4 linked regions of the Saccharomyces cerevisiae S288C genome follow. The gene in region 2 interacts genetically with the main gene of each other region. Each region holds a gene or a part of one and is shown on either strand. Other genes may lie near its edges.

Region 1 (6,561 bases), on a different chromosome or scaffold from region 2:
TTTGAAACGACTGCAGGAACGTTAACGTTTTCTAGTACTGCTTCTGCCATTTCTGAATGTGAGAAAGACTTCGGGCTCTCTTTTTGGATGAATTTACCTGTCATCTCTACTGCCATTGCAAGTCGCTTTTCACTGTGATTTCATCAAGTGATAAATTTGATCTCATTCCAAACGATGTCATTTTTCAAAGGCACATCAACTGTTATAAATTATATCCTATAGCCACAAGCAATTATTAGTTTATGTATTGTGTGTATATTTATGTAACTCTATCCTCCATGATATCCTCCTAAATTTTCTGTCCCCTTGCCTCCAGCTTATACTATTATTAACCGAATAAGGATATAAATAATCATTCAAAGGAAGCAATACTTTAGTATACCGAAGAAACTCAAACTGAAAATTGTGAGAAAAAAAACATGGAGGAAGAATGAATCAAAAGAGGCCATTAAATAAAAGGGTAAATGTATGTAGTAGGTCCAATAAAGCTTTTCCACCACTTCTTCAATAGTATTTAGTATGCCTTCTGATTTCCCATTACGTCTTTTAGCTTCCTTAGTGGTGGGTATGTACACCATCGAGCTTTTATGTTGTGTCATTTCTTCCCCTTATGATATGTTCCACCTTTGTTCTTCCGGTTTCTACACTCTTTATCTCTAGTACTTTTAAAATGGTGTCATTTCTGTCAAATTGCGAGCACTATTACTCTTCACTTAACCGCTTCTCGTTAAGCGCGTCAGGAGTAAACGTCATCTCGCACGATATGCTTAATGCATATGATTTGAGTTACTATTGTTCTATCAATTTAGTTTTTGAGGAAGATATACGGATTGTCTGCGCCTCTATATGTAACAATGTATGTATATGATTTTATATGTGCTCTATTTATCGAATCATTTCTCGCTTCTAAAGACTGAGAAAAAAGATCTCCTTTTCCCGTTACTGCCACCACTACTGGATGCACTACTTGCCATCGCTTCACGACGGACCCTTTCCAAATCAAGCGATTGACGGGCCCTAGCGAAGGATTTTCTCATCTCTGATGGAGTTGAGGTGCTAATAGTAATGCTGCTATTGCTATCCTTATCCTTCGAATGCCGGTATCTTTCCAAATCGTGCCTTTGCTTGGAACCAGTCCTGTGTGTTTCATGCTTGCCATTTGACCGGGTTGACAGTTCGTGACCAGTACTGTGGCGCTTATTCTCAGTTATTGCGGTGGAAGCATGAGGTGAAACTCTATACGAGTGATGTGAATTTGGTGCTGGCGAGTCGTTTTTATTTCTATGCTCTTGAGTTAACGTTGGTGAAGACAGATTTACTTCCTGGAAATTCAGATCCAATGACTGCCGCGGTTGCCTTGTTGATACGCTGCTGAAGTCCTTGCTTTTGAATTGATTAGACTTACTAGCATCACTTGATCTTGCCTGGTCTTTATGACCTCTTTCATTATGGAGTGGTCTTCTTTCAGCTGTTTTTCCTCTCCTTGCATCATCCAAATCAATATCAATGCTTTCGCTGGAGACCATACTATCTCCCAATTCGTCTGTTGAATAATTGTTCCTCTTACTGGAACCTTTGCGTCCAGAAAGCTTAGCTTGTTGAATTGATGCAGACGATGAAGACGATGAAAAGGAGGAGACAGCAGCACCAGTATCATCTCTTGATAAGTCCATCTCATTCAAACTTAAATTTAAAACGCCATTTCGATTATTGTTCGAGCCTTTGATAGTTCCTGAACCGCCGGCATCTTCGATACCGCCAGTTTGAGGCTCATTTGTATCTTGGAAAGATTGCTTTCCTGCATCTTCTTTTAATGGAGATAGTTCAATTAAGAGAGCTTCATTTTTAGAGGATGAGTGCATTGGTTCATTTGCAGAATTTCCTGCAAGAATTGGAGGTTCACCCCCCTGAGCATTTCTCATATCTTCTGTGGTATGATTTGTTCTATCAGAGACGTAAGTACCATTATTATTTGCATTTTGAATTTGCATTTGCTGTTGGACTTGCAGTTGTTGCTGAACTTGCATCTGCTGCTTGGCTTGCATCTGTTGCTTTGCCTGCATCTGTTGTGCCTGCAATTGCTGGGCTTGTATCTGTTGCGCTTGCTGCTGATTCATGGAAATAACAGGTCTCACCATTGGAATTGCTGGGGAATTTTGACTTGGGAGATATCCTGACTGGGAGTTCGTGGCGTAATTTTGAGAAATATTCTGAAAGTTGACTCTTCTATTACCACTATCTCCAGCAATAGTTCCACCCAACTGCATAGGTTTATTGGACCGATCCCTCCCAGTGTAGAAATTTCTTTGGCTATAATTAGCAGGTCCTTTGGGTTGGTCCTGTTGTTGCTGCTGTTGTTCAACTCTAGATTGATACTGAGATTCATCTGGAAAGGTATTCCCTTGTGTACCTGTTTGATTTTGAGCTTGCTGATATCTCTGGCCTTGCTGTTGTTCTTCCAGGAAAAAGTTACTTGCGTCATTGCTCAATTCATTCGTAGAATGGTATGCAACATTCATTTTTGGAAAGGGATTATTCGATTTATGTTGTTTCATCTTATTAATACCAGCAGTTTTCTCGTTCGCCAAGGCTTCGTCTGACCCGATCGTTGCTGCACCATATGATGTGCTCTTCATTGATCTGCCACCTGAAGAATAAGAGCTTGTGCTCTTTTGCCTCTGTGGTAGTGATTGGGTATTCAAACGAGGACTTTGTTCAGAAATAGTCGGATCACTTGATTGTTTGACCAATTCTTTGTCCAAATAAGTATCTAATTCGCTCACGCTTGGATAATATAACTCTCCAGGAGTTTTATTTTCAAAAATTGATTTGTCCTCTATACCTGGAGACTGGATTGTATTGATTTCTTGAGGATTATTGGCTGTACCAGAACTGTTAGCATTCGATGTTGTTCTTGACGATTTATCTTCGGACAGGGTAGACTTCCTCTGATCGGATTGACTTTCTTTCTCTTCTTCAAGTTCTTGGCCGACATTTTGAGATGGTATTCTAGAAACAGCGGCATGACCGTCACTAGCGTTCATGGGAAGTTTGGATGAGATTTCAAAAGAAGAAAGAAACATGTCATTCAGTAAGTTTTCTTCTGAGTCACTCAATTTATTGTTCTGCATAATTTTCTTTTGTTGTAGCTGGTACATTTGCAATTGAACATTTTGTAATTTATTCTGAAACTGCGTATATTTAGAAAAATTATAGGCACCTTCCGCATACTTATCCTCGATTGGAACTTCCACATTTAAAATCTCACATAAATGGTATAATACTTGATAAATGTTCGGTCTCAAATTTGGGTTTTCCGCCAACATGATAATGATTAAGTTGATTAGTTTTGATGAATATTTGTTGACAGGAAATTCATATTTGGAATGTAATATAGCAAATTGACCTGTCATTTCAAAAGGGGTGGTGAAAAATAATAATTTGTAAAGGAAAACTCCCAAAGCCCATATGTCTGATTTTTCGTTAATGGGCAGACATCTGTAAAGGTCAATCATTTCAGGGGACCTATACTGCGGAGTAGTATGCACATAGATGTTTTGAGTCAAAAGAGCAATATCTTGATGAGTAGTGACAATTGGGAAACATGTCGACGTGGACCCAAAATCAGCTAGCTTGAAATTGTTTTTGGCATCTACCAAGACATTTTCAATCTTGATATCGCGATGGATCAAGGACACAGGAAGGTAGTGCATTTGAGAGATAGAAAGAGCAACGTCATACATAATTTTCACAATTTCAGCTTCTGTCAGTTTCGTTGACAATCGTTGGTTCATATAATCTAGCAAAGATTTGTTTGGACACAATTCCATTAGCAAAAGAACCTCAAATCCTTGAACGCCATCACGACGGCGAGAGGCGTTGGAATCGAAGTATTGTACTATATTTGGGGCCCCTTTCAATTTCTTCATTACCTCCACTTCATTTCTCATCTCGTTCAATCCATTCTCATCTTGAACTAATACTCTTTTCAGACATGCGACATCGCCAATCTTTAAGGGAACACTTGCTGTATTATCAAATTCATTAAGATACTCTAGGAATTTCACCACGTAAATTTGAGCAAAGCCACCTTCTGCTAAATAATTTACCACTTCAACTTTATGTGTGCCTACGCAGACAATATGGCCTGGAGTGTACCTCTCTACCGCCGGATGGCCCATTGCCGAAACGCTTCTAGAAGTACCATTCGTGATCGACATGATCAGTGCTAATTAGAAAGAAAATAACAGGCGACAGGGACGAAAACAAGAGCTTGGGAAAACGTAATAGCAAAAAATGAATGGCAACTAAAATTATCTCTATGATGTCCTGTGTTGCTTATGCTCCCGAGGCACCGATTCTGATTCAACAATGCTATTGAATTTACTCATTCAAGAAAGGGGGTTCATAGGATTATGGCTTTTATTCAGTATTTTTAAGTTTTTTCGGTTATTGAGCTCTGAATAGGGCATTTTCAGAATGGCGGGGTTCACCTAAAAAAAATGAAAAACAAATATAGGTCATAACTCGTCTGAATTTTCGAAGAGCTCATCAGACGTTTTTCAGTAGGGTTATATGAGAAGTTTTTTAGTCGTTTTAAGATACATCACTAAGTATTGTTGGTTATGGGAAAGCAAAGCTAGCAAGCCTAGTACTATTACAATTGTTCGTGATATGTATACATTTATAGAGTATTTAAAACGGTTTTCAGAAGTTTTTCAAGTTCCGCATACGTGTAGGGTACCCAAATAATTTCCATTCCAGAATTGTTCTTAGTTATGTTGGCCATTTTATGTTCTATGAATTCTCTAAGCATCGACCTTAGAGCTATCTCATTAGAAGCAATAAAATCAGCGGCACAGAGATGGTTGAAAAGTTTAAGTTCTACTCCAGTTCTTTGAGTACCACGCTTAGGACCTGTGTTAGCGGATAGATTCCCCATATTCTGCATTTGTGTTTCAATAAGCAACTTATACATCTTCTTGGAGTTCACAGTAAGTGATTGTAAGACGTATTTCGCACCTTCAGCACCACTGCTGGTATCGCTTTTACCCATCTTCATCACATCTTGGAACGTAGACTCGACTGTCGACGGTTCAAAATTCGAAATATCATGAAAGACAAAGTTGTAGTTTTGGGCCTTCATGTTGTCCCAGAGGAGCGGAGCGTAAATGTGGTCTGTAGAGGCGACTATGGCGATTTGTCTGATGACGGAGAGGAAGCTTAGCATCGTCTGAAAAGTGTTTTTCCTTATGCTAGGACCATCCAGATTATGCACTACAAGTATTAATTTGATATCTAAAGGTTGATTTTTGTAGAAATCAATCATCTTTTGGATCTGCAAAATCACATGATTGCCCCAGTACTTAGTTTCGCTTCTTGTCAACTCAGCGGGGACCAAAAGATCGGTAATCTCTTTGAAGACGTCACGATAGTTACAGCTAGGGTTGTAACCATTTAAAATAAGGCATGGGATGGAATTTACAGGTTTGTTTTGTTGTAATTCATTCTCATAAGCCAGTTGCGAGTACGCGATTTTCGGAGACAAGTAGTCAATGGCAAACTCTTCCAAAAAATTACGTTTCGAACCTACACCATAAAATAATAAGGAGAATCCTTGAGTCAATTCAAACCAATACTGGGGAAACATTTTTTTCTGAATTTCAAATAACTTTTGCCTGGGACGTTTTTGAAAATTTTCGTTGAAAAAGTTTGATACTAGGGAAAACTCTTCTCTGGTAACGTCAGGTGCCATTGACATGGTGTGCCTTGACTTCGCATTAGTTCTGACAATTTTTCTTTGGTCGAAATATCCTTCAAAAGTATCCAAAAACGAGCTTGCTGACTTGGTTTCCGAAGTTTGGTAGAGCTTTTTATTTTTCGGTACAGGGGTTGGAGTAAAATTTCTACTCAAGGTTAATTTACCTGGGGAGGTTGAGTCTTTATATTCTTTTAAATTATTCATTATAATTTGCTTTAGGGGCGAAGTAAAATCATGATTAGTGGTTAAAGACTTCTTAGATGGTGTTGCAGGTTCTGGTGGCTCGGGTGAATTTGATACAAAATTATCATCAGTTTGTGGAGTCACATTATCTTCATATGTTGTGGTCGCTACCTGTATTTTTTCGCGTTCTCTTTTCTCTTTTATCCCCGTCTTTTCCATCACCTGCTTGTTGTTAGAAGTCTTGCTTTCCTCATTGACATTACCTGATGTATCTTTGTCCAATTTCCTCTTTTTCTTAGAGGAAATTGTATCTTTCTCATCCTTCTTGATCCTATCAGTTAATTCTTCCTGTATCTTTCTTGGTCTTCCACGTTTACGGGGAGCTTTACTTGGCGTTTTAGGTTTGAGTGCCGGATCTGGAGATGTATTTTTCCTTTCGTTGCCTACAAGCGAGATTCTTTCCAACAAATTCTTCTTTGATGAATGAATTCTTCTCAGTTGTCTTTCTCCATGTGGGTCAACCCTTTTTGGGGTTACATTCCTGCTTTTTGCCGGAGACGATAGGATATCATTATGCTCTACAAAGTCTTCCCCATTTAGCATGTTATGGCAATTCG
Region 2 (4,291 bases):
AAGGTTACCATAAAGGATCGCATATAAACAAAACTCGCCCTTTCTCCTGCATCCCTTACCGAAAAGGAAAGTTTATATACACTTAAAGGAAAGTGCTACTGTAGGTCGTCAGGCCGTTGATGTACTGCTCTTCGAGACAACTATTGTACCTTAACTGTAAGAATTTGCTCAAGCCCTCAAAAAACACAACGTGCGGGTAACGACAACGAAGTGGGCGCAAGACAAAGATGGAATATCCTATCCGATGGGCACTATAAAAGGCGAAGGGAAAATTAGTTTTTTTTCTTGTCAAGCATTTGCCGAGCGCTTCAATGTTGATTGGTCTAGAAGTAACAATCAAGACAGATAAAGTCTAGTACGTGTGCAGGTTAATGCGCAAGTGAGAAGTGTAGATATTGTAGTTGTGATATTTACTATTCTAACTTGGCGCTATTAACGCTTTCACAACCCAAAAACATCAAGAAAAGCCTTTCAATAAATTGCTCTTCTCTTGGCGAAAGAAAGCGGGGGGCAAAAAGAATCACGGGACTTATGTTTCGGGATCTCTTTGTTTCTTCTTTTTTTCCCGGAGAATAATTTTTTAGGACCAATTACCGTAGTTGCGACTACAACAATTGTTGTTCATACCCCCACGATTTACTTTTTGAAAACTAGTTTTTGGAATAATAATGTTGTAAAATTTCCCTTTTTCCACCCCGATTTGTATTTTATTTTTCGTTACAAAATTGGGACTAATATTAAGGGCGACAGTTTTTCTTAAAAGTAAGATTTTTTACTTAAAAATTCTTGTTCTTAACGAAATTACATACGTATTAAAATTATTTATTAGATAGTCGGTATTGTCTTTTTGTGAAAAAAAAAAATTATAATACTAATTGTTAAAAAGGCAGGTATGAGGAGGGTATAGTAGGAAAGAGAAAAGACGTTACAATTTTTAGGTTTTCGGTTTTAATAGAAATTGTTTGATTACACATAATAGGAATTGGGGGGCTGGCGGGAGGGAGGCGCATGTGCTCTATTACTTTCTTGTTTCCACAACGGATGGAACAACCACAACGACAACAACAATAGCAAAGATAATAAAGCAGATGATCAAACATCTTATTTTGTTTTTTCTTGCTTTTCTGGCACTCTTAACGGCCTTGTTGGTGTGACCCACACCTTGCTCTACATCTTGCTGAGCGTCTTCGACGTTTTTGTCAATGACATCCACATTTTCTTGTTGTTCGATGACCAACTCTTCCATGTCATTGAACAATTGGGTAAGTTCAGCCATTGTTTTTTCCAACTTCAACAACTCTTGATGTCTAGCCTGTACTTCGGCCAATGCTGTCTTGGCCTCACCACGTCTATTGGCGTTTAGCAACGCTTGGGAAAAGATCTGCTGGCCATTGACATCGTTGATGGCGGCTTCCACTTCTTCGTCAGTGGCTTCCGGTTGGATAATTGTGTACTGTCTCTTCGCCTGCTCTTTGCTTTCTTCTTTGTAGTTAGAATCGATAATTCTGTAGTCTTGAATTAATTTTAAGAATTTCTGTCTGCAATTTTCAGCTTGTGCCTGTTTATTAGAGTCGTGCAATCCGTCTCTCTGGGCATCTTTGATATCCGCTTTCAATTGATACTGCAAATCTGTGGCCTGAGAGATGTAATCGTCCAAAGAACGTCTCAATTCCATCTCCTGTTCCTCACTCACTTGAGTAAGTAGGTCTTTGTGTTGCGCATCAATTTGGTTGATAATGTTTTCGTACCTGGACAAGTTAGCATTTATTGAGTTGATCTTGTTCATAAAAGCTACGAAATCGTCGCTACCATCTGAGTGACCAGTAGGAGCATTGTTCAAGTCCTCTTGCATTTCATAGTTTTCAGCGTACGGATTGTTATTCTCATAAGGATTAGCGTTGCTCATTGCTGCAATATTTGTGCGTGTATGGGCAGTTTTCAAATGTAAAGTATTACAATTCCACACTATTCCAGCTCTCTTATGGGTATATTAAACGATTTAACCTGCCAACAGCATTTATTTGTCATTTTACTTGCTTTTTTCATCCATCCATTGAAACTAAAAACGTCAAAAAAGGCCATTTCGTAAACAACGGCCGGGTGATAAGCACGTCGTTTAGGGGGGACCCTTTGCTGCCGCTTGGTACCCGGCTCGTAAGACATAAAGATGCCACATATTTACTTTTAGCTGGCTTCTTTATTCACACAGGCTACTCATAAGAGCTTCAGTAGACGCGCATCTGTCGGTTCTTCGTCAATCTATTTCCGCACATACTATTACGTACGATGGCTATTAAACCAACCAAAAGTTTTCAGAATTGTCTAGAAGCTGAAGTGCCTGGTTATAACGACTGTCCGACAGTTTTGTTTTCTATCGACCCTAATAGCGGACCTAGATCCAAATCTAAACAAAGAACGAAATCGAAAAGATGTGTTAGCGGCAGACTTGCCACAGAAGTGTTAGATCTTTATGGGAACACTAAAACAGCTACTACGCCGCCACCAGTTTTGAGGAGGCCATCTGTAACTGCTGCTCAACAAGAATCTGCCTGTGAAGGTGTGCTCGTAAAAGACCAAGGCGATAGACAGCTCCAGCCGATATTATGCAGTAAAGAAGAATTAGTGGCTAAGATCAACGACCTCTGTGTGTGTGGCTCGAAGCTCTCTTCGAAGGAGTTGGAATTTTACAAGAAAAAATTAGATTCAAACATTACCAAGATTTTACAAAACGAGCACACCAAAACAGTACTATCCCAGATTTTCAATGAAAAAGACAAAAATATGGCCGTGAAAACCATTAAACATTGGATGGTTACTGACACAACAATCTCAAATTGGTGTCCCGCATTCTTAAAAATTTTTGAAAATGCGATGCCTAATTAATCAATAATATTATTATATTTATAAATAGAAGTACACTACGCAGAACATTTTATTTTCTAAAAAAAAAAAGAATTCCTATTGAATAATTAAAAATCAAGGTTACCCGCAGTCTGCTTGAGAAATTTAATAAAAAACATGTAATCATCTCATCGCGTCGAACAGCATATAGCAATAAGGGCTCATCACCGCCTCATGTTTCTTCTTGTCATATCAGATCAAGAAAAACAAAAGGTTGGAAAATGAATGAGGATAAAGAGCAAAAGATCAACATACACGATATATTGAATACAAGACCGAAGCTCACCAAAAAGACAGCCCTAGATGTTTTCTTCGAAGATCTGGATGACAATGTAATTACTCCCATAAACGAATATGTTCTTGATTCAGGCTCATCATCATCCTCTTCCATTTATCAGGCGTTGAAGTGCTCAAATAACAATGAGTTTGTTGCAGTACTTTTACAGAAATTCCAGAATTTGCACATTCACGTACTAGAACAGCAACGGAGGCTCATCGAAAGTAAAAGTGACTTATTGCCTATCTCATTGCATGATATGAAATACGTAGACGAACTGATAAATCTTTTGATTATTCATGGTATAGATGCTAATTTGTCTCCTACGATGAAAATTCCATTCGATTCGAAAAGAATAAATACTTTCAAGAAGGGCCAAAAAAGCGCAGAATATGAAACGCCTCGATGGCACACCATAAATAACGATACTTTATCTCAAGTCATAACTGTCTTTTATAATGTTCTAACTAGTGAGAGGTCTTCTGACTACCTGAGAGAAATAATATCAAAAGGCAGTGCTTACGCAAACATTTTATTAGGTTTGATTGTGTTACATTTGCAGTTGCCTAATAGGTACTCTTCACAAATGATTACAAATCTAGAAGATACTCAAGAAACTTATACTTTGTTTGGGGTTTACACTCTACTAGTAGAAACAATTCAAGACGAAAAGGTTAGGGAGCCAATCCTTTCGAAGTTAACAACGTTAACTCTACGAAGACCGGAAAATGGTCTGATCAGCTTGATTGATTTCGTTTTGGGTGTGAGAGATGCTGAAGATATAGATATTGAAAAGTTTAACCGTATCTACCAAATTTTGATGAGTAAGCCAAAAACAATGACAAATTTGCAATACTTGACGGAACTATTCAAGCAAATTTATGATGGTCTCACCTTTGTGAACAGGCCTATCCTGGTCACTTGTTTGAACGGACTAATCCTTAAATTTTACCTGAGGAATAAGAGGATTGTTAACGATTTTTTGTTTAAGAAGGTCCGCTCCATTATCTTTAATTCCCCGTTAACTGATCATACAGCAAAGGAACTGAACGATGTTATAAACGTTCTTATATCTTTATCCAAAAATTCTTCATCGGATTTGCTGAATGATTT
Region 3 (5,618 bases), on a different chromosome or scaffold from region 2:
CCAAAACTGTTAAACAATTAACTAAAGAAGTATGTAAAATTCAAGAATATATCTGGCCCTGTCTTGTTCACCCCAGAATAAATCGCTAACACAAGTCTAATTAACCTTCTTTCTCATTCGTAGATTACTGTTGCATCATGTATAGGAGCTGCCCAAGGTGCTCTCTTCAGTATTGCCTCAGCGCTGCTGTTGAGAAGATTTTCATCAGTATATAGAAATGTCAGAACTCAAGTGCGTGTTTTTTATCATTGTTCTTGGATTTCAATGGGTGCTGTCTTCAGAGCTGATAAGCAATTGCTCAAGTTCCAGACAAATTATTATCGTGAGGAACAGAAAAGAAGAGAAAAGATTATGGATGAAGCTGCTGAGAGAGGCCTTTTTCTGGAGGATGAGAGTTTGAACTCTTCCCGGTCAACTACATGAAAGTTATTTTCATGTCTACTTATATATTCATATATCAGTGCAGATGGTTTATTTCTATAAATACATAGACCCGCAAATTACCACAGCAATGCCTTAATGATTTTTAGAACTAAAAAAATTGTGAACCGAATGCTTCTCAGGACGCTGAACAAAAACCAAATTGTCCAAAGAACTAAAACAATGCCAAATTCCAGCAACCGATATATGGTTTTGGTCATCTTTTGGGCTCTCATAACTTTCACCGTAACATACCTTTCTGTATTCTCTTGAAACATTTTCAACTTCAATGTCAATGTTGTATTTATATCACTAAGAATTCTGTCACTAGATGATATCAAAGTTTCTACACGAATTGAATAGTCGTTCAGAAGTTTTGATGTCCAGTCATTACCTAGCTTTAAAACTTTATTCAATTCATTATCATACTGAGTCAAAGCATCTGCAGTCTTCCTAATGTTTGTATCTGCATCTTGTGTAATTTCAATTTCGTTTCTTCGTGCAATTTCTCTCCTCTTCACTATATCATGTGTCTCTCTCCTGTGTTGCATCATAGCTACGGTACTCATAATATACCTTGTATCATGCCAGTATCTCTGTAACTGTTCGTCAACCTGTAAGGAATCGCTTACTAATCCCACTGGTTCGCTACCTTGACTAGTAGTCTTCTCCCTAGGCGCACCTTCGTAAATACTCCCAGCACCATTTGGTAATTCTTTGTCACTTTCAAGAGCTTGTTCACCTTCTGCTCGCAACGATCTGTTGCTGGTTTTACCTCTCAAGGTATGAACTGGCACTTCGCTCAACAAACTTTGCCGTATTATAGCATCTTTCCCATTATCAACCGGCGTCTTGTAAGTTTCAGTGTTTCCAAAAGTAATTCCCATGCTACTTTTGCTACTGTTGGTACTAATACTCTCTCCATTATTACTGCTCCTTCTGCTGGTGCCTCCATTACTAATAGTGGGATTCAGAAGCACCTGTTTTTCAAGCCCAGGCGTATTTTTTTTTGGTGATCTAGACCATCCTTTCGACGTTTTACTAATGATTTTTTCGAGCCCATTCATTCTTGATTTCTCGTTTTCCGGGGGGCCTGCTGATTTTGAACGATAATGTTTAGAATTTCTTTTCCCACCACTTCCACTGGTATTACTACTTCCACGACGATCACCTCCATAGCTACTGCCCTTTGCTTCGATGATCAATGACCCCTGATCTGATGAGGTGTTTGTAACTGTATTGGTTATTGGTACCTCTAAATGAATGTGACTTAAATTGAGATCAGATTTTTTGTTCCTTGAAATCTGAGCTTCTGGAGTAGTTGCGATCTTCGTTATCATGTTATTATTGTTATGATTATTATTGTCTTCTTCATTGGTCATGACTCGTTTCGGTGTCAGTGATTGAGTGTTTGAGTGCACTGAATTAGCTGTACGGACCCTGGAGTGATGTTGTAAATGTCTTCTGGGATGAATGTGGTGTCCATGATGCCGGCGGGATGATGATGATCCGCTCGATTCGTTGGAAGGACTATAAGACTGGAACCAAAGCTTACCTTGAGGATCCACTAATTCTTCCCAATGCGAAGTTCTCCAAGTCAAATCCATATACTTCTCGTTTATATCTACAAACCACGGCATTTTTTTGTTGGGTTTTTTCGAAAACTGCTTAATGGCAATAATAGGGTGTTTTGTAGTATAAAACTCTCTGGTAGGTAATTCATGATGCTTCTTTTTTAATTTACGATTCCTAATAACTTGTAATGGGTTGTACACCCCTTCAACACCCTCATGATGATTCTGGGAGCTATCAATTGAAATGCAACGCTCTAATATATTATAATAATAGTCTAAATATATTCTCACCCTGTCTGCTTTTATTCTTGTACTTCTTGATATTGGAAGTATTGGGCTTACTGAATTCTCTTGTTGATTCTTGAGGTACTCCGTACCCAATTCTGATGTCTTTGCTGATATTGGTACACCCTCAGAAGAAGCGGTTAATGGTATACTAAAATTCAAGTCGTCCATTAGTCCAAATTTATTATCAATGAGAAGTTTGGTAACCAATTTCATCTTCTGAGGGTTTACAGTCTCTGTTGTTGTATCGCCCCTTCCATTTTGTTGTTGTTCAGCCTTATGGTCGTGCTCATTTGTATGAGTCATGTTTCATCCGTTTAAAGTACCTCCCCCTCCTCTGCTGAAGTGTATATTTTTTATCTTGATATCCCCTTTACCTCTTCAAAGCCTTACTCATCAGATTTTTTCAAATAATATCAATCTGTATCAAGAAAAAAAAGAGAAGGTAAACACTAATACGAATAGAGAATACAGAAAAAACATACAAAGCACATTGAGATGCCTCAGTATTTTGCCATTATTGGTAAGAAGGACAATCCTGTCTATGAAATCGAGTTTACCAATGCAGAAAATCCACAGGGTTTTCCTCAGGATTTAAAAGAATTAAATCCGTTCATACTGCATGCATCACTAGATATCGTAGAAGATTTACAATGGCAAATTAATCCGACTTCACAGTTAAATGGGAACGGTGGAAACGGATCCAATGGCGGTGGTGGGTTCCTTCGATCTAGAGCTGTAAACAATACTGATAATTGTTATCTAGGTAAAGTTGATCATTTTTATGGACTAGCAATAACGGCTTATATTAGCTATAGTGGGATGAAGTTCGTGATGATCCATGGGAACTCAGCCAACAGTAGCGTAGTTATTGACGACAATAATATGAGGTCATTCTACCAAGAGGTACACGAACTATACGTAAAGACACTAATGAACCCGTTTTATAAGATTACAGACCCTATTAGGAGCCCGGCATTCGACTCGAGGGTAAGGACATTAGCACGTAAGCATTTGTCCAAATAATGGGAAATAAGATAGATGCAGAGATTTTTTATGGCGTATATGTATATGTAGTATGTATTTTTTTTTTTTTTTGGCCAAATAATAGATAAATACCGCCTTTTTACGTAGTTTTTTCCGCCACGAACGTTTCTATACAGTTATCCAGTAATTCCTCTATCTGCTTCTCGTCAAAACGAGTCACTTTTGAGTGTTCCGTTACAGGAATTTGGTTCAGTAGCCATTTCTCTTTTATCGATCTGGTCAGGATCAACAAGTCTTGAACATTTTTAATCAATTGCATGGTCTGGTTATTCACCATCATCACACTGGTCGTGGCCACAGCGAGCTCAGAATTTTCTTGTGCGAATGAACCCTCGTCATCATCATTTCTATCGGCTATCGTAGTCATATTTATCAATTCCGCCAGCTTCACGGACAGAATCGTCCTGGTTTGTTCGAGTTTCTCATATAGTGCCTGGTTGCTCATTTTCTTGTAAAAAAAAGGAGTACAGGATGCCTATCATCACAATCTGTTATGATTAGCCCATGGCTTATGCATGCTACTAAGTGATAGGTAAATGCGTTAAATGGCAGTACAATTTCCTTAACACTTCAAAGTTTCAGTAATTCAGTCCGGGTCACACTGGATTTATCCTGATTTTATTATACATTATACAAGTGTGCCAAAGTATATACACTAAGTTAGTTACCAGTGCTACCAAAGCCACCGGCCCCTCTTGCACTTTCTTCCAGAGAGTCTACAACAACGATCTGGGCATCATCGACAATTTTTTCCAGAATCAATTGGGCTACGCGATCACCTTTTTTGATCGCGAAATCCCTCTGTGAATGATTGAATAAAACTACTTTAACTTCACCGGTGTAATCTCTGTCGACAACACCAGCACCGGTTTGGATACCGTTTTTCACTGCCAGGCCTGACCTTGGCGCAATACGACCGTAGGTACCAACAGGTACGGTGAACGATATGTCGGTGGAAACCATACCTTGACCCATAGCCGGAATGGTAATATCCTGAGATGCATAAATGTCGTATCCCGCGGCAGTGGCAGAACCTTTGGTAGGTACAGTAGCGCTTGCTGAGCGCAATTGAATCTTTAGTACTTTGTCGCTAGTAGCAGTCATTTGGTTATTTTTTGGCTCGCTGTATCAGTGCAAACATCTCATTCGAGAACTTAGTTGTTTCTACTTATTAAATGGTAGCGCGTAATATTTTTCCTTTTATAATTTTCAATGGTAGTAAATCAGAAATTATGGAAAAAAAATAAAACTTGGACAGAAAAAAATATTGCTATGAAGAAAAATTGAATATGCTTATCAGCTCATTTGATTGAGTATGTTGAGATATTTACAGGTATTATTATTGCTGTATTTACTTATGTAAAACGAGAGATAATGGTGCGTGTGTATGTACATAGTATTTCAGCTTGAATAGTAAACTTTCCTGACATCAACAAGCTTTTTGCCTCTACCCAGGGCAACCTCATCCAATGTCTTTTGAGCTTTCGTGAAAGCCTCGATGGTACCTTTAGCTATATTCATATCGTTTCTGGATTTATATACTTTCCCACTCAGATCTTTGATACCTGCACATTCACAAATCTCAAAGATTACATGGTTTACACGTAATCCAAACCCTGGTTTTGCACTTCTTAAATGTAGTTTCACACCATGATACCTAAAATCTATATCACCATAAATAGTTCTGTTTTCATACCTAGGTATTTCCTTCAGGTTCCTTACCGCATCCCAATGAGCTTTAAAGATCGCTTTGGACATTTCTTCACGAGATTTACCTTCTCCCAAACCTACCATACCGTTTTTGTCACCAACGACAACCAAGGCATAGAAAGACGCAATTTTACCCTTCCCAGTCTGATTTGACACTCTTTTCATCACCAGCGGCTTCATAGTCAACTTTCTAGTGATATAATCCGGATCTACACCGGTTTGCTTGTGTAGCCCTGCAGCTACATCGGCGCTTTTCGATTTCCGACCACCATCGTTTGGTAAGCTGACTCCTGGAGGCAGAATGTTACCTTCGCCTGGTAATGGTTGTTGTACCTGGTCCCATCTAAAGATGCTGAAGTTATTATTCTCCTCTTGAGCGTGGAGATGGGGCATGCCTGGTTTGTAATCCCAAAAAGGATGTATTTTGGTAAAATCATCCAAATATGGTGGTGCGAATTCCACGTTACGAGATACTCTGAATTTAGTATCTTCTGGTATCGTTTGTTGAGCAAGTTTTATGGATTTTAAAAGACTTTCAGGATAGTACCTTGATAATAGCGACTCATCATAATGCTGTAGATA
Region 4 (4,797 bases), on a different chromosome or scaffold from region 2:
ATTCATCGAAGGTGATGATTTACACCCGCCTGCCAACGTAGAAAAGATGACAAGAGGGATTCCATTAAATGACGACGACCGTTGGGACTGGTTGAAAAAAGTTGCCGTAGAATCTACAAAAGCTGCAGCAAGCACTAAGGAGCATTTGTCAATTGTTGCTTGCTCGAGCTTGAAGAAGAAATACAGAGATTTGATTAGGCACACATGCCCTGAATCGGAGTTCCATTTTATCTTTTTGTATGCAAGTAAAATAGAAGTTCTGAAAAGGCTCAAAACAAGGAAGGGTCATTTCATGAAAGCTGATATGATGGAGTCTCAATTCAGGGATCTGGAGTTACCAGACATCAACGACGAAACTGACTGTGACATTGTTCCCTTAGATTTCAAAACGTTTTATCAAATTGAAAAAGATGTTATACAGGTGGTAAAAAGTAAAGTTTTGAATATTGAGTAAATAACGCTTGGATAAAACGAAGTAAATATTAGAAACAGTTATATAGAAATTAAATACGGTGACCTGGAAAATTAACAAAGACAGAACAAATGTGAATGAATAATAATAGCAACTTCCAAAAAAAAAAAAGGGGTTACAGGGATCAACAAAAAAAAGCAAGAAAAAAAATGAATAAAGGGAATACCATAAAAACAAATAACATTAAACGGATGAGGGGGTCATAACGGAAGTGTGAATATAACTACAACTTGCTTTGGCAAGTAATATTTTCGGGAAAACAGATGATCATCAAGAGAAGGTCTATCAATTGTGGGCTTAAAACAGATGTGTAGTACACTTTTGTGCCAAAAAGGAGGGGGTTAGTTAGTTAAAGAAGAGGAACTCATGCGAAGTTCGTTGAATTTTTTTTCGAACAAGGAAAATTTGTTGGAAATCTTAGAACATTCGTTATCGGACTCGCAAGAAGTGCTTGTGAACGAAGAATGCAATCCAGTGTCTGTGTCTAGCGTTCCGAAACTGCCACTGCGACTGCCATTATCATCGTCTATCCCTTCTTTGATTCCATCTTCTTCCTCACTTGAAGATGTATAAGATAAATTCTTGGCAGCTTTACTATCGTGCATGTACACGTAGGATTTTGGAGACAAATTCTCATTCGTGTTATCGACGGGGCTAACGAACTTTTCATAAACAGACTTGGAAAGAGGCGGCACTTTTGATAACGGGCCTTCATTGGTGAAGCTTGTAATAGAACTAACTTCTTTCATCAACTCTTGCAAGCTCATTCTATTCTTCGGATTCACTTGTAAAATCTTAGATAATAATGAGTAAAAGTCATCGGAAAGCGGTAGGATTTGCTTTAGTATATTGGGATCCTTAGTGAAATAATAGTAGGTATTATCCTCGGTTTTGTCAGCCTTCAGCCAGGGATTTCTGATGCATGTCAAATTGATAAGGATGATACCTAATGACCACAAATCGCCATTACATGAGGGACAAACCTTACCCAACTTATGTCCCCCACTTTTAGAGCTGGAAACTCTCCCATCAAATGAGATTCTTTCAGGGGGCATATAATACGAGCTACCAATGCAAACATTTGGCTTTATATATGTGGAAGTAGTGGATAGACCAAAATCGCATAGGAAAACGTTATCTTCTGTATCCAGTAGCAAGTTTTCAGGCTTGATGTCACAGTGGTAGATGCCGTGCTCATGGCAATAATTAAGAGCAGAACAGATCTGTAGAAAAACCTTTTTTACTAGCAGTCCATTAGTGACAAAATGTCTGTTATCTACAATAGACGTGAATAGGTCTGTTGGGTAATAATCCATGACAATGAACGTGCAGACTGCAGATTGTAGCACCTCATGTATGGTGACAATGTTCTTATGATGGTGGACTCTTAGGTGTAGCGAAATCTCTTTATAATGGGGCAGCTTTTTAAAATCTTCTTCTGACATATTCTCAATTGATTCTAGATCTATAGAGGGCACCCTGACAACGTTTTTCGATTCCTTGAACAGTTTAGCGAGCTTCTTTTGCAATTTCACGCTATTTTTGTGTATTTTATCATTGCCCATATCAGCCTCCTTGCTAACACCGTAACTTTGAACAACCGCTTTGATAGCGTATTGTCTATCGGTACGAATATCTAAGGCACGGTAAACCAGACCGTACGCGCCTTCGCCAATTTGAGAAGTTATTAAGTAGTTATTAATTCTGCAATTATGGAACATCATCATTACTTTTTTCTTTTTTTTTTTTTTTTCTTTCTCTTATTTTATTTTACTTTAGTATTTCACCTTAGTATATTATCGTACAGTAAATGTTAAGAACTTTTGTAAACGTAACTCATAAAACAAAAAAACAATGGTAGCGCCAACACCAGCAACAAAAAGAGGTAAACAAAAATATAATAGCAGTGACACAAATGTAAAAACGCTGTAAAGCTAATAAATCAAGTCTTTTCTTATAGCACTTGTAAGTATGAATAAATATCAGTGAGTCTTAAGGTGGCAACGGTAAGGGAGGGAGAGAACCAAAGCAGTTTTAAAATTAAAAATAAAAATAAAGGTTTAATAGCACTATAATATGGCACACTAAATTTAATTGAGGTACGTTTTAGGCTCCAGTATAAACAAAAGGGCACCAACGTCAACATGTATAAATAATAATAAATAAATCGGCGAAAACGTTCCAACGTGCGGCCGCTGCTTGGCAAATTAACTGGACGGGGTTAAGTGGCAAGCCGCGCGAATTAGCGGACGCGGACCTAGATACACAAGCGAGGACTGCTAAGTTAGGCCATGTTGGCGGGGGTAGTGGCGGTGGTGGTGGCGGCATCCCTTCCCCACGTTTTGGTCCCTTTAACGTAACTGGTAAAAGTAGGATCGACTACCCCTTTTGGGTTACACTTTGGTATCAGTCATCCATCAGCGGAAAAAATGGACAGCTTTGACTATCCCTATTGTGTACCCGGTTCCGAACTGGTGTTTCCGTACTCACGTGCCGAAAGCTGCGTAATAGTGCATTGGCAGGATATGATGTGATGGATTGTATGGTGTTTCCAGGGCAGGAAGGGAGTAAGAAAAAGGAAGCAAGATGACGATATAGGCGGCGCATTTTCTATCGCTGGTGTTGGGATGCAGAGGATCCGTCGCAGTGTGGTCTTTTTTCGTACGTAGTAGTAAAAGCTATCCCTATTTATGAAGGAGGAGACGGAGAGCGGCAACTTCTTCTTAGTTCTAGAAGTACGTAGTATTTATTTTCTTGGTGTGAATGCGTTTATCTTCCGATGGCGCGTGCGTCTATTGTAGGTTTTCTACCATTTTTTTGACTTTTTCGTCGAACAGGTTAGATCTTATAGGCATTTCCATTGAGTAAGATGGGTCTTTCATGACGTAGTCACTATACAAACAGTAAACCTTCCTTAGGAAGTTGTCGGCTATTTGGATGGCCAAATTGGATGTACTCTTGGGTCGGTCAGGCTTGTCGGTGGTGGCTATAGTTGGCTGTCTCTGGGGCATGACGCTGGAGCTGATAGCGACAAACTTCAGGCCGGTTAGGGTCTGATATATGAACATCGTGAACTGATCCGTGCATAGTTGTCTCAATCCGCTCTTGTTCCAGTTCGTAAATGGTTCTTTGAAAAAATCATCTCCTTTAAAACTGCCCAGTTTTTCATTATTAGTGTGTTTGTTGTTATTGCCACCTCCATTTCTTGTATCGCTCCTATTGCTGGACATGCCCACGTAAGGTATATATGGGATGGTATTTTCGATGTTCGTTTGTTGAGTTAGCTGTAATGCCTTCGGAGTCAGCTGGCTCGCGATGGCGAATACACCGTGCAGTGTACTAGCAAGAATTAAGTATTCATTGCTGTTCAATTTCTGTTCGTCGTTGGTAAAATTCCGCTGATAGATTAGTCCGCCTGATTTGTTTATTACAAGTATTGTTTCGATGGCCATTTCAATTTTTCCCGTTTAAATCCAACACTAAAATTGCACTTTTGAACTTATGCAAAGGCAGATTCCTTTTTTTAGTTTCACTCTTTTTCTTCTCTTCGCACCGCCCAACTCCTGCCGAGGAGGCATAAACTCCAACATATGATGGAAAAATAAAAGAATGTGTAGCATATTATTGAAAGAATCTTCTATAGGCCTAAATGTACATAAATTATAAAACAACATTTTAAAGCAGAACCAGTAGTGGAAATTAAAAAGAAAAATAAAAGCTTGTAAATGCTTCTCTTTACAATATTGATAACTTCCATTTTATGGGAAGAAAAATCTCGTGTACCATTTCCTATTCAGTTTTTCCATTAAAGTGGTGTAGTACTGCATCTCGCCCCAGCAATCTCTGCCAAAATTGCATCCGGCCATATTCACAACAAAATCATGGTCTTTCTCACTGTAAAAGTATCTTGAGTCACCACTGTATTCAGAGCATGCTCCCGGTGGGAATGCATTGATCGTTCTTAAGGGCAAAAATCCTATTCTCGAACGAATCCACGGTTCGTTTTCATATAATGCCTCTAACGCATCTTGTTCTCTATGTTCCCAAACCATATGTTTTTGTTCATACAGAACGGGGTCCCACCACATATCTAGAAGCAGCTTAGACCATTCGCTATTTTTTATCAGAAATGAGCCCAAATTGAAGCCTCCACAATCTTGTGTTATTAGAAACTCCATTTCCTCTGAATAATCGACATAGGGTATGTCGTCTCTTAGGTTTAGGGGATTAAAACTTTTCAATTCTCTGTCAGCCAGAGTTTCCAATCTGTCGAAAATATGTTCTTCTAATGATTTAGAAGGCTCCATTATCATAGTATCCAGGTC

What was found.
Region 1: mutations in SSO2 (region 2) and AKL1 together harm fitness more than expected from each alone (negative genetic interaction), as found in Saccharomyces cerevisiae (3 studies listed by BioGRID).
Region 3: mutations in SSO2 (region 2) and MTC4 together harm fitness more than expected from each alone (negative genetic interaction), as found in Saccharomyces cerevisiae (3 studies listed by BioGRID).
Region 4: mutations in SSO2 (region 2) and VHS1 together harm fitness more than expected from each alone (negative genetic interaction), as found in Saccharomyces cerevisiae (3 studies listed by BioGRID).

The regions. Positions count from the first base shown.
Region 1 is NC_001134.8:355,968-362,528, forward strand, and holds AKL1 (serine/threonine protein kinase AKL1), read right to left. Parts: upstream 4,221-6,561; coding exon 894-4,220; downstream 1-893. Other genes in the region: ubiquitin-specific protease UBP14, read right to left, coding at 1-50; TSC3 (Tsc3p), read right to left, coding at 357-599; ORC2 (origin recognition complex subunit 2), read right to left, coding at 4,685-6,547. UniProt on the Saccharomyces cerevisiae protein: Phosphorylates SCD5.
Region 2 is NC_001145.3:625,903-630,193, forward strand, and holds SSO2 (syntaxin), read right to left. Parts: upstream 1,907-4,291; coding exon 1,019-1,906; downstream 1-1,018. Other genes in the region: ADD37 (Add37p), read left to right, coding at 2,287-2,883; RTP1 (Rtp1p), read left to right, coding at 3,123-4,291. UniProt on the Saccharomyces cerevisiae protein: Required for vesicle fusion with the plasma membrane.
Region 3 is NC_001134.8:721,423-727,040, reverse strand, and holds MTC4 (Mtc4p), read right to left. Parts: upstream 2,586-5,618; coding exon 501-2,585; downstream 1-500. Other genes in the region: RCF3 (Rcf3p), read left to right, coding at 1-29, 124-423; TRAPP subunit TRS20, read left to right, coding at 2,778-3,305; SRB6 (Srb6p), read right to left, coding at 3,406-3,771; DUT1 (bifunctional dITP/dUTP diphosphatase), read right to left, coding at 3,987-4,430; mitochondrial 37S ribosomal protein uS5m MRPS5, read right to left, coding at 4,728-5,618.
Region 4 is NC_001136.10:953,415-958,211, reverse strand, and holds VHS1 (putative serine/threonine protein kinase VHS1), read right to left. Parts: upstream 2,200-4,797; coding exon 814-2,199; downstream 1-813. Other genes in the region: YDR248C (gluconokinase), read left to right, coding at 1-454; YDR246W-A (uncharacterized protein), read right to left, coding at 2,879-3,079; TRAPP subunit TRS23, read right to left, coding at 3,265-3,924; MNN10 (alpha-1,6-mannosyltransferase), read right to left, coding at 4,231-4,797. UniProt on the Saccharomyces cerevisiae protein: Probable serine/threonine protein kinase involved in the G1-S transition.